Nothobranchius furzeri: one gene and its partners. The protein of the gene in region 1 purifies or fractionates together with the protein of each later gene. This does not show direct contact. Links are inferred from orthologs where the notes say so. Each region holds a gene or a part of one and is shown in the gene's direction. Other genes may lie near its edges.

Region 1 (4,409 bases):
TGGACATATCCCTTGTCTGAAATAAAGTTTGATTGATTGATTGATTGATTGATTGATTGATTCCTTAAAGAATACAAGACGAAATACGCCATTAGTGGAGACTGAAGTATTACGTTTAATAAACTCAATCCCTACATAAGCCAATGAAATATGTGTTTACATACAGTAGCTGAAGGAAAAGCTGCAAATCATCCAATTTTTATTTATCCATTTAAATCATTTAAATGAAGTCAAATATAAATTCAGAGGGTGTAATGTAAACTGGGACAGTCATGCACCCTGCTCCGGTCAAGGGCCGTATTCAAAGAATTATCTTGGTACATCCCTCCTCTGCTTTGTTCCTTAGTAAATCTGTGAGACTTTGGGTGGTAGGAGTGAGGTGAGCTTTCAGGGGTCGGAGGGAAACTGCCATAGGCACTTGAAGTCGTCCTGTACAGGATCCTTCCAATGTTTGGGTTTGTTGCTGATTTCATGCTTCTAGTTGCCGAGGTGGTAATGGAAGAGACTGCTGGGTTTCCAGGGCTAGTGCATAGTTCTGTGATTTCTGTCTGCTGCTCTTGTGACAGGGACATCACTGGAGTGTCTGCAAAGTAAAAGAAAAGTTTACAACACTCAACCCCTACAGGACCAATCCTGCTGAAGTCAACTTCAGTAGTTACATATATATATATATATATATATATATATATATATATATATATATATATATATATATATATATATATATATATATATATATATATATATATATTTGTGTGTGTGTGTGTGTGTGTGTTTGCTTAGAAAAAGTACAAAATTATTATTAATATATAAAATTAATATTAAAATTATATTGTTAAATTATAAACAGCTTGCATTATTATTAGCTTTTTAAAATTTTGGCTATGTGAGTGCTTTTTGCAAACAGTATTATTTAGTGACATTTAAAATCTGAGGACAAATAAACCACATCTTTAATACCGCACACGCGCGCACACACACACACACACACACACACACACACACACACACACACACACACACACACACACACACACACACACACGCACGCACACACACACACACACGCACGCACCCACAGACAAATACGTTTAGCTAACATTTCCTGTTTTGAAGTAGTCGGCTAGGGATTTTTACAGGATTATTGGATACATACATAACTAGATGCGTCTGAGGCTTACTAGGGCCTCCGCTGTTTGCGTACATTGTTATACTAATTACCTTAAAATACACAAATACCGCAAAAATGTCCGCGCTGTTTTGATCAGGCCTCGCCAGTCGCCAGCTCTTCCGTGGGTCAAGAAAAACGATGCGTCTGGTTTCCATGGAAACCACTTAGACGAAGGAAACGGAATCGTTCATCTTTTTTAGTTTTGATTGCTTTTTACTTTTATAACAGAGTGGTTTATTGATAAACAACAACATTGAATAAATCAGACTGAATTAAATTGCTGGTCAAAATATAGAACTTTGTTGGCTTTGTAAAAAAATTCAGAAACTCTCCACTGCACCTGAAGGTATCGTTGTGTCGTCATCATCAAGCGTCGACGCCTACGTCTAAATTAAGCGTCTGTTTACTGTGAGCTAAGCGTAGCGTCTCCTCTAAGTGTATATTCTATCGAAATTATTTACCGCTGCTCTCTTCTTTTATTTCGATGAACTTCAGCTTTCCCTGCGAGGTTGAGTGGGTTTTTGTTGAGAGCTGTTTCAGCTGCTGAACCTGAAATGGACAGTGAAATTCAACGAGACGGGAGAGTCCTGGATCTGACTGATGATGCCTGGAGAGAAGACAAACTACCGTATGAGGATGTCACCATCCCCTTGGTAAAAACGTTAAACGTGTTTGCATTAAAATACAGTGTGGTTAAACAAATGGTAACGTATCCCTCAAATGACCATTCCGAAGTTCAAAATAAATCATTTGTGAATTATAAAAAAGAGCAAGTCACCCCCAAATCAATTTCTTTTTGCTGATAAAATACATAAATAAGTGTCTAATCAAGCTGTAGACACATGTAGTCAATAATTTGGCATTTTAGAGCATCTTAGTTAAAATTTAAATATTCTGCCCAGAACTGTCAGTGTTACACCCTCTTCAGGTAATTTTAAATCTGCTATCGCTATTGGCTAAGAGGTACCCTATGATGTCAGCTGGCACCATATGATGTCACAATAGGCATGTTTCCATTACCAGAACTCCAGGGTAGTTCCTGGGATGGGGAACTTGACCAGGAGATAGGATGTCCCAGTCCTCTCAGCTGTTGTGTCTCCATTCAGATTCAGCCCTTTCAGAACTTGCACAGACGTCAGCGGGTCACGACTGCTTTGGCAGTGAGTGATGTCACTGATCAGCCCAGAAAAGTGCCCAATGTGTCATTAATAATATCCATCCATCTTCTGAACCCGCTTTGTCCACGTAGGGTCGCGGGGGGGCTGGTGCCTATCTCCAGCGGTCAACGGGCAATTAGGCGGGGTACACCCTGGACAGAGAGCCAGTCCATCGCAGGGCAACACAGAGACACACAGGACAAAAAATCATGCACACACACACACATACACACCTAAGGACAACTTGGACAGACCAATCAACCTAACAGTCATGTTTTTGGACTGTGGGAGGAATCCGGAGAGAACCCACGCATGCACAGGGAGAACATGCAAACTCCATGCAGAAAGATCCCAGGCCGGGAAGCGAACCCAGGACCTTCTTGCTGCAAGGCAACAGCTCTAACCACTGCACAGCCCTCATTAATAATATTTAAAGCATTTATTTTATAGAAGTATATCATAATTTAATCCATTCAGAGGACAAGAGCAGCTCTGAGTTTTGTGAGACAAGCCCCTGGAGTTATCCCCCAGGCTTTCAAACAGGCAGTGGTCCAACCAGTTTTGAAGAAAGCTGGTTTGGACTCCACCTCCCTGGAAGCTTCCATTTTTATCTAAGCTTCTTGAGAAAGATGTTTTTACACAGCTCTCTGACCATTTGCAGACTTTTAACCTTTTAGACCCTTTGCAATCCGGGTTCCGTCCCGGTCATAGTACTGAGACTGCCCTTCTTAGTTTTTAATGATGTTCTGTGGTCCACTGATTCCGGCTCCCATGTTCTACTGGTGTTTCTGGATCTCACAGCTGCTTTTGACACCGTAGACCATGCTATACTTCTGTCCCGACTGAACCAGGTAGTGGGCATCCAGGGAACTGCCCTAAACTGGTTCAGATCGTACCTCAGCAACAGAAGTTTTTGTGTGAGGCTGGGGGATTTTGCCTCTGAAACCTCCTCTCTTCCCTCTGGTGTTTTTATGTTTCATTAAAACCTCAAGAGTCAGTGCAGCTGGCTGTGGATTGCCTGAATGAGGTGAATGGCTGGCTTTATAATAACCTTTTACATCTGAACGAGTCTAAGTTGGAAGCTCTCTTGTTTGTTCCTCCCTCTCCCACTTCAGTTAGTCCTGTCCTACCACCCTGTTTTCGCAGCTTAGTGAAGCCAACCATCACTAACCTGGGGATGGTTTTTGACCCGGAGCTGCAGATGGACTCCCACATTAGCCAGGTGGTTAGATCCTACTTTTTCCAGCTTCATCGGCTATCAAAGATGGAAGTCCATCCTGACTAGACACGACCTGCACACAGTGATCCATGCATTTGTGGTCTCTCGCTTGGATTATGCAAATTCCCCTTTTTATGGATCCACGTCTTCCTCGGTTGTGCGCCTACAGCTGGTGTGGAATATGGCGGCCTGCCCTTTGACGGACACCAGAAGGAGGGAGCACATTACTCCTGTTCTGACCCAGCTGCACTGGCTCCCAGTTTAAAATTTTACTTCTTGTTTTTAAGTCACTATCTTTATGTGCCTCTCTACTTGACTCAGCTGGTTCAGCCCAGTTCAACTCCGGTTGTAGCTAGATTGCTACCTTCGTTAGCTTAGCTCCCACCTCCGCGTTGGCTTTGGGTTAGCTTCAGGTTAGCTTGTAGCTACATTAGCTTCAGTTTGACCGGGTGTCGTCAGTTGATCCCAGCCTTACAGCCCCACCCTCAGCTCCGCCTCTCTTCCCTTTTGTGGAATTGTCTGGGCTTGACGGAACCTGTGACACGGTCAAAATGGCGGTGGTGGCCACCTCCCATTTTGGCACAAAAACTTTTAATTGGAGCCTATGGAAACTCATTGTCCATATATATATATATATATATATATATATATATATATATATATATATATATATATATATATATATATATATATATCGATGGTTCAGCCTTACGTACCTGGTCGAATTCTTCAATCAGCAGACCACCGCCTGTTACAGGTCCCGAGTGTTTGGGTGAAGACGCAAGGAGAACGAGCGTTCTCAATCTGTGTGCCTCCTCTCTGGAACCAACTCCCCCTAGCAGTGAGAATGGCCCCCCCTCAC
Region 2 (3,655 bases), on another chromosome or scaffold:
TACATTACTGTATTTTTGCACAACTCTGTTGCTGTGAAGCTCGCACACAAGAATTTCACTCGCATGTACTGTACCAGTGTACCTGCACATGTGATGTGACAATAAAAGTGATTTGATTTGATATCAAATAGCATGTTATAATTATGAAAGACCTCTTAAAATGAGCAAGCAATTGCCAGTTATTCTTCAAGTTTTATTCAAAATTAGTTTGCATAACTTCAGCACTTCAACTTTACTTCACAGTAAACAAATGCCTGTGCAAAAAATAAGTAAACAACCTGAGCTGATTTTCCCCTCGTGTGAGAATCTGCTAGCCTGCAAGCCAGACAATAACTAGGAGGATAACGCTGCGAGCGGCTTCGGCCCAAACAGAACCAGAACCGCTCACGGCGCAAACAGCTCGCCAGCTGTTTCCCTATTAACACACGTCCGTTTTAATTTCTACACTTTTTTTTCTCACACTAACAAGGATTGTCGAGAAAGCATGTTTGCTGTGGTTTTGTCAAATTATACTGATCACAAAACATTTATTTACTTTCTTTCGTTTTCCTCCGCCACTCATAAATACCCGTGTCCTCCTGCAGAAACCCCGAGGGACAACGGACATCAATAACACAATAAAAAGTCCGACGTGTTGTGTAAAAACTGCTATTTTTAGCACATTTTAAGTCCGACGTGTTGCTACCAGATGTACGGTGTGAGCTGAAACTGAGTGCTACAAACGAAAAAGTCGCACAGTGCCTGCAGAATATATAGAAATACAGGCTAAAAAGCATTATCTTGTAGAGGCTCCGAGTTCCCTTGCAGAAGTGACATTTACAGGTGCTGCAGCACGGAGGATGTGGTGTTGTAGTAGGCTAAATCCATGTTGTTACAGTATTTACACTGGACTACGTTTTCCACCTTACGACGTGAAAAATGGTTCCACAACTTTGACATTTTCTGTCTTTTTCTCACTCCACCGGGGTACAAGTTGTCCGCCATGGCTTAAGAGAAAGTTAAGTTATATTCGCTACTCGCGTGTGCAATCAGTCCAGTGGGCATGTGCGTCACTTATTTCGGTCCGGGTGAAACATGACCCCGTGCGTTTGCAAAGCCATGAATTAATTAAATATGAATTAAACGAATCCTCGAGGCAGAGAATTTGACTCGAGGATTTTTTGTACTCGAATTATTCGAGGTACTCGAGGAATCGTTTCAGCTCTAGTGCCGTACACAGGCGCCACCGGTCCCTCCGACCACCACCAGCAGACAAGGGGGTGTAAGTGTCTTGCCCAAGGACACAACGACGGCGCCAAACTGAGAGGGGTTCGAACTTGCAACCTTCCGATTACGGGGCGAGCACTTGACTCGTGCCACCGTCACCCCTGGTTCCGACTCCACTGTGTGTGACTTCTTTTGTGCATGGAGGTCGCTTTGGTGCCGTGACCCGTTCACACTGGACAGTGTTCGGTGTCGCATTTCAGTCATAATGTGAACAGCCACACAAAATAATCAGATTTACTCAAAAATTCAGAATTGAGCATCAAGACCTGCATTGTAAACGTAGCCTAAATTATTATTTCAAAAACTCTGACCAAAGTGGAGATCTGGGGATTCTGTGTTGTCAGCATACGCTTGTAGACTTAAGCCTGATTCATGCTCCTCCGTCTGCGTCAGTGCGGAGACACGCAACGCCATTATCCGTCCTTGTGGGCCTGCCGGAGAGCTCCGCAAGGACGGATTGAGTTGAGCTCTCTTTTCTAAACATCCGTCAGTCGAGGCGGGCAACGCAAGCTTGTGATTGGTCAGGACGCCGCTGTTGTTTACAGTGCCGCCATTGCAAAGAGAGCTGAGGAGAACTAGCAACAGACACGGAGCAGCTTGAAGAATACCTCGCGAAAACACTAAAAATATGAACGTTTAATTCTCCCGTGACTGGAGGAGTGAAAAGATGCGCAGCAAGTGTTTTATTTGTGGACAGAAATGACAGGAAACGTGGGTTTAGAGGTGGGGAGCGCATGAAGAGGTGGGAGAATGAGAGACAAATATGTCTGTGTTAAAAGTCTCTTATATACACAAAAAACACAATATAAACGCACTATCTTGGACCGATACATGACAGGATACCACAGAACAGCGCTACGCCCTCTGTTGTCCTGCTGGGGAATTGCTTTGCAACACTCCCCAGGAGACGGAGAAGTATGAGAGCAAAACGCTTCCGTCAATCCGTGCGTGTCTGTCCCTTGCGGAGCTGACGGAGAAGCCTGAACCAGGCTTTAGAGTTTTAGGCTTTGCAGTGTCACTGCTCCCTACTAAATGACTGACATCACAAGTGTGACTTGCGTTTACACTCGTTTGTTTTAAAAAGCTCAAATGCTGCTCTATGTAGAAGACCACAGGCAAAAGTCAACAGGACAGCTATTGTCCACCACCTAATTATTCTTCATCCAAACAATGTTTTTTTTTTCTTGGGGAGGCGGGACTACTACCATCTACAGGCTTAGCATTCCTATGAATGTAATGGACTTTTTTTGCTGTAACTAGGGACGTCCTGTTCCGATATCGATATCAGCCCAAAAACACTATCAGATTATATTGGACTGCATGAAAAATCTCCGACATAAGCCGTCCGTTTCACTTTAAATTTCCTTCCAGCAATTCTATCCAGCAGCTCCCAGATCCAGCATGCAAAGTCAGCGTGGTCAGAGCGTGCATGCTAGCAAAGTAGCAGGGAGCAATGGCAACTGTGCGGCAGTCGTGTTTGTTAAAGTCCACAGAAGACGGTGTAACTCAGTGCAACATTTGCCATGCACAAGTTTCCCATGGTGGAACAGGACCAGCAAAGTTTAATACCTCATTGCACGTTTGAAGCAGCATCACAAAACACTGCATGAGAATTTTCACCGTTGAAACTTTGGACACTCAACTTGTAGCAGTTGGTAAAATGTGGGTTTTTTTTTCCTGATGTTCCTGCCCCAACTCTTCCCACCATTTGCTGACACTAAAACATAACTGAAGTGACCCTGAATTAGTATTTTGTACTTTAAAAATATATCTTTAGTTTATGTGTTTACTTAAAATATTTTTCAGTCTTTTAATTTATTTCTTTTTTTATTCATTTGTTACACGTTATGTTTAAGGTTTACGTTTATGAAACCAATGGTTAAAAAAATAGTAATTTCTTTCATACTCACTGTTGCTGGCTCTTGTTCTCCGATTGAGTAATATCTCACGATCAAGCCTTTCATACGTTCCACACTATGAAATAGGTAAAAGTATGTGTGATATGTGCTGTTATCAAGTCGGATTGGTATCAGTCAATACCGGTATCGTATCAGAAGTGAGAAAGGACATCCCTAGCTGCGGAGTGGATCCAGGGTTTTCCCTAGATGGGCGGGGATGATGTTCGGTTTTAAAAACAACCAGACTACACATTTCCATGGCTTCAGGGACTGAATTTGCTTCTTAATTCTCGTTCCTTTAAAATGAAACAAACACATTTTTCTTCAGTTCCCTGGAAAAGAAATCCCTTCTGCGGGACAACGTGGACCTCCTGGTGAGCCTGGCAGACGTTTATTTTAAAGCCGGGGACACTAAGAATGCTATTCTCAAATTTGAACAAGCGCAGATGTTGGACCCTTACCTCATCAAAGGTAAGTCACAGACAGCTGTT
Region 3 (2,431 bases), on another chromosome or scaffold:
CTGGTTACTCCACACACGTGTTTCATGAGCATTTTTTAACTCCGAAGTTCCCCTGAAGGACTTAGTTGTTCGTCCTTTTATCGAAACTCATTTTGAGCCTGAGAGGGTTAAGAGTTCAACACTTGAGGGAGGAAGACAGAGCAGCTTTTTCTAGCTATGCTGCAAACATACGGTCTGACTAAAAGCAGCTGTAGCATGAGGTGTGAGAGAGTTGCTACTAAAAGAGATTTTTGTTTGCTCAGATTAATCTGGCAGAAAACACAGACCGTCACTACATATCCAGTCTCCTGTTTTTGCAGGAAAAGAACACAAGTACCCAAGTCCAAGATGAGTTTTTGGAGCTCCTGTTGTGGGGACAGTCGAGGTTAGGAACGTGTTTCTGTTGTAATGCCTAGCGTCCAGCAGATGGGAGCAGTTCATCAGGAGTTGGTTTCAGGGTTTTGTTATTGAGTTTTTCTTCTCGTCTGCTCTGTTTCCAGTCCTGAACTACAGGCTCTCCTCATGAACCAGCTGACTGTCAAGGTCAGATAAGATCAACTTATTTAATTCAGAGATGTGTTCATTAAACGCTGAGGAGTTTCAGATCTAATCAAGGGATTTATATTAAAATCAGTTATTTTGTGTGTTACAATGCCCTCCTAGGGTCTGAAGAAGCTCGGTCAGTCTATTGAGTCTTCCTACTCCAGCATCCAGAAGCTTGTGATCAGCCACCTGCAGAGGTATTTTATCATAGCATCTAAATGCTACCTCGTTTGTTTTTATTTGTAATCGTTCTGTGTTTTCTCCAGCGGCTCTGAGGCTCTGTTGTATCACCTCAGCGAGGTGAGGGGAATGTCCCTGTGGAAGCAGAAGTTTGAGCCTCTCGGTTTGGATTCAGGAGCTATTGATGGTAGAAGTCAAATAAATAAAAGTCCTAACTATTCATATTGGCCTTTTGTTGTTAGTAAAGGTGTTTTTGTTTTGCAGGTGCAATCACGGCTGTGGGCTCGTTCTCTCTCAAAGCCAATGAGCTGCTGCAGTAAGCTTGCGACCTTAAACGTGAGTCATTTCAAAGTGTTTCCACAAAATGCGTCCTTTATTTTGTCTTTTAGGGTGATTGACAAGAGTATGAAAAACTTCAAAGCGTTTTTTCGATGGCTGTATGTAGGTGAGAATGAAGTTTTTTAGTTGCAGTTACTGCATATGATTTAGTTTGAGTGTTTTCGGTTTTATTTATGTGCTCACGCTGTGTTTTGCCTCATGAAGCAATGCTACGAATGTGTGACGAGCATGTGCCCCCAGAGCTGAATAAGGTGGGATTTAATGGGAGACGAGGGGCTGTGGGGCTTCATGAAGTGGCTGTACAGTTTCATTGTGCTGTTTGGTTTCCTCCTCAGATGACTCAGAAGGACATCGCCTTTGTTGCTGACTTCTTGTCTGAACATTTTAGTGAGGTGAGGCGAGTTCATGAGTGGTGCTTGCTTGTTGTCATGCTGTTTATAAACTTGCTTGATAAATAAATGTGGTGCGGAATAGTATCAGTAGTATTTATTTAGTAGAGATTTTAAACCTGATTTCACTGTTTAACAGAACGAGGAACTCTTTAATCGTAAGGGGAAATACTTCAACGTAGAGCGAGTTGGTCAGGTGAGGGCTTTTGTTACTGAACAGTTTAGAAAACATATCAACATTATCTTCTTACCTTGTGGTGGTTTGTCTTTGTTTTGGACGCTTTACAGTACCTGAAGGATGAAGATGAGGACCTGGTGTCTCCTCCCAACACAAAGGGTAACCAGTGGCTCAGGTTTTTACAGGAGAGCACACACCTGAAAGGTAAGTGATGATTTTGAGTTTAGGTGCCTAATTGAACTTTTGCAGAAGGTAAAATGTTTTATTTGGCGTTTTATTTTGTGGGATACAAAAATAACGAAATCCTTCCTCTTTAGAGAGTCCTCTGCTGTTCCCATCATATCCTCAGAAGTCCCTGCACTTCGTCAAGAGGATGATGGAGAATGTGATTGAACACTGCCTCCAGAAGCCTGCTGTAAGTGTTTGTGTGCCGTTTCTTTTCTCGTCAGTACGAACAAGCATCCCGTCGGCTCTGCAACACTATCACTCTTAAATATGTTGCCTTGTTTGCAGGAAGTAATTGGAAAATCTGTCAAACAAGCAGTCTTCCTTCCTTTGTACGCCATTTCAGAGAAGTAATGTCCCATTTGTCTTTTTATTGTCATTGTTTAACATAGTTAAAATTTAAAAGGAAATGTAATTAATTTGATGAATTTTTTTTCTCCTTTAGGCCAGAAAACACTCCACGACTGTTTGAGCTTCCATCTTTGTGCGTGAAACCCAAACACGTCAGAGCTTTGTTTCTGTAATAACAAGATTGGTGTTTGTATTCATGGTTTAAAAAACATTTTTGTGTGTGAACACACAGGTGGAACGATAAAAA

Evidence for each region.
Region 2: the proteins of anapc13 (region 1) and anapc7 purify together in Homo sapiens (affinity purification with mass spectrometry; 3 studies listed by BioGRID and IntAct, counting the BioPlex papers as one, with this or other methods). This does not show direct contact. The link is inferred for Nothobranchius furzeri from reciprocal best matches to the Homo sapiens genes ANAPC13 and ANAPC7.
Region 3: the proteins of anapc13 (region 1) and anapc4 purify together in Homo sapiens (affinity purification with mass spectrometry; 9 studies listed by BioGRID and IntAct, counting the BioPlex papers as one, with this or other methods). This does not show direct contact. The link is inferred for Nothobranchius furzeri from reciprocal best matches to the Homo sapiens genes ANAPC13 and ANAPC4.

What each region holds. Positions count from the first base shown.
Region 1 is NC_091744.1:86,652,596-86,657,004, forward strand, and holds the start of anapc13 (anaphase-promoting complex subunit 13), read left to right. Parts: upstream 1-1,524; 5' UTR 1,525-1,725; coding exon 1,726-1,824; intron 1,825-4,409. Other genes in the region: pierce1 (piercer of microtubule wall 2 protein), read right to left, coding at 243-572. UniProt on the Homo sapiens protein: Component of the anaphase promoting complex/cyclosome (APC/C), a cell cycle-regulated E3 ubiquitin ligase that controls progression through mitosis and the G1 phase of the cell cycle.
Region 2 is NC_091757.1:28,335,432-28,339,086, reverse strand, and holds part of anapc7 (anaphase-promoting complex subunit 7), read left to right. Parts: intron 1-3,492; coding exon 3,493-3,635; intron 3,636-3,655. UniProt on the Homo sapiens protein: Component of the anaphase promoting complex/cyclosome (APC/C), a cell cycle-regulated E3 ubiquitin ligase that controls progression through mitosis and the G1 phase of the cell cycle.
Region 3 is NC_091748.1:39,292,778-39,295,208, forward strand, and holds part of anapc4 (anaphase-promoting complex subunit 4), read left to right. Parts: intron 1-299; coding exon 300-364; intron 365-479; coding exon 480-522; intron 523-642; coding exon 643-719; intron 720-788; coding exon 789-889; intron 890-966; coding exon 967-1,018; intron 1,019-1,091; coding exon 1,092-1,147; intron 1,148-1,245; coding exon 1,246-1,292; intron 1,293-1,376; coding exon 1,377-1,433; intron 1,434-1,569; coding exon 1,570-1,626; intron 1,627-1,681; exon of another isoform or gene 1,682-1,718; coding exon 1,719-1,812; intron 1,813-1,925; coding exon 1,926-2,023; intron 2,024-2,121; coding exon 2,122-2,183; intron 2,184-2,278; coding exon 2,279-2,317; intron 2,318-2,416; coding exon 2,417-2,431. UniProt on the Homo sapiens protein: Component of the anaphase promoting complex/cyclosome (APC/C), a cell cycle-regulated E3 ubiquitin ligase that controls progression through mitosis and the G1 phase of the cell cycle.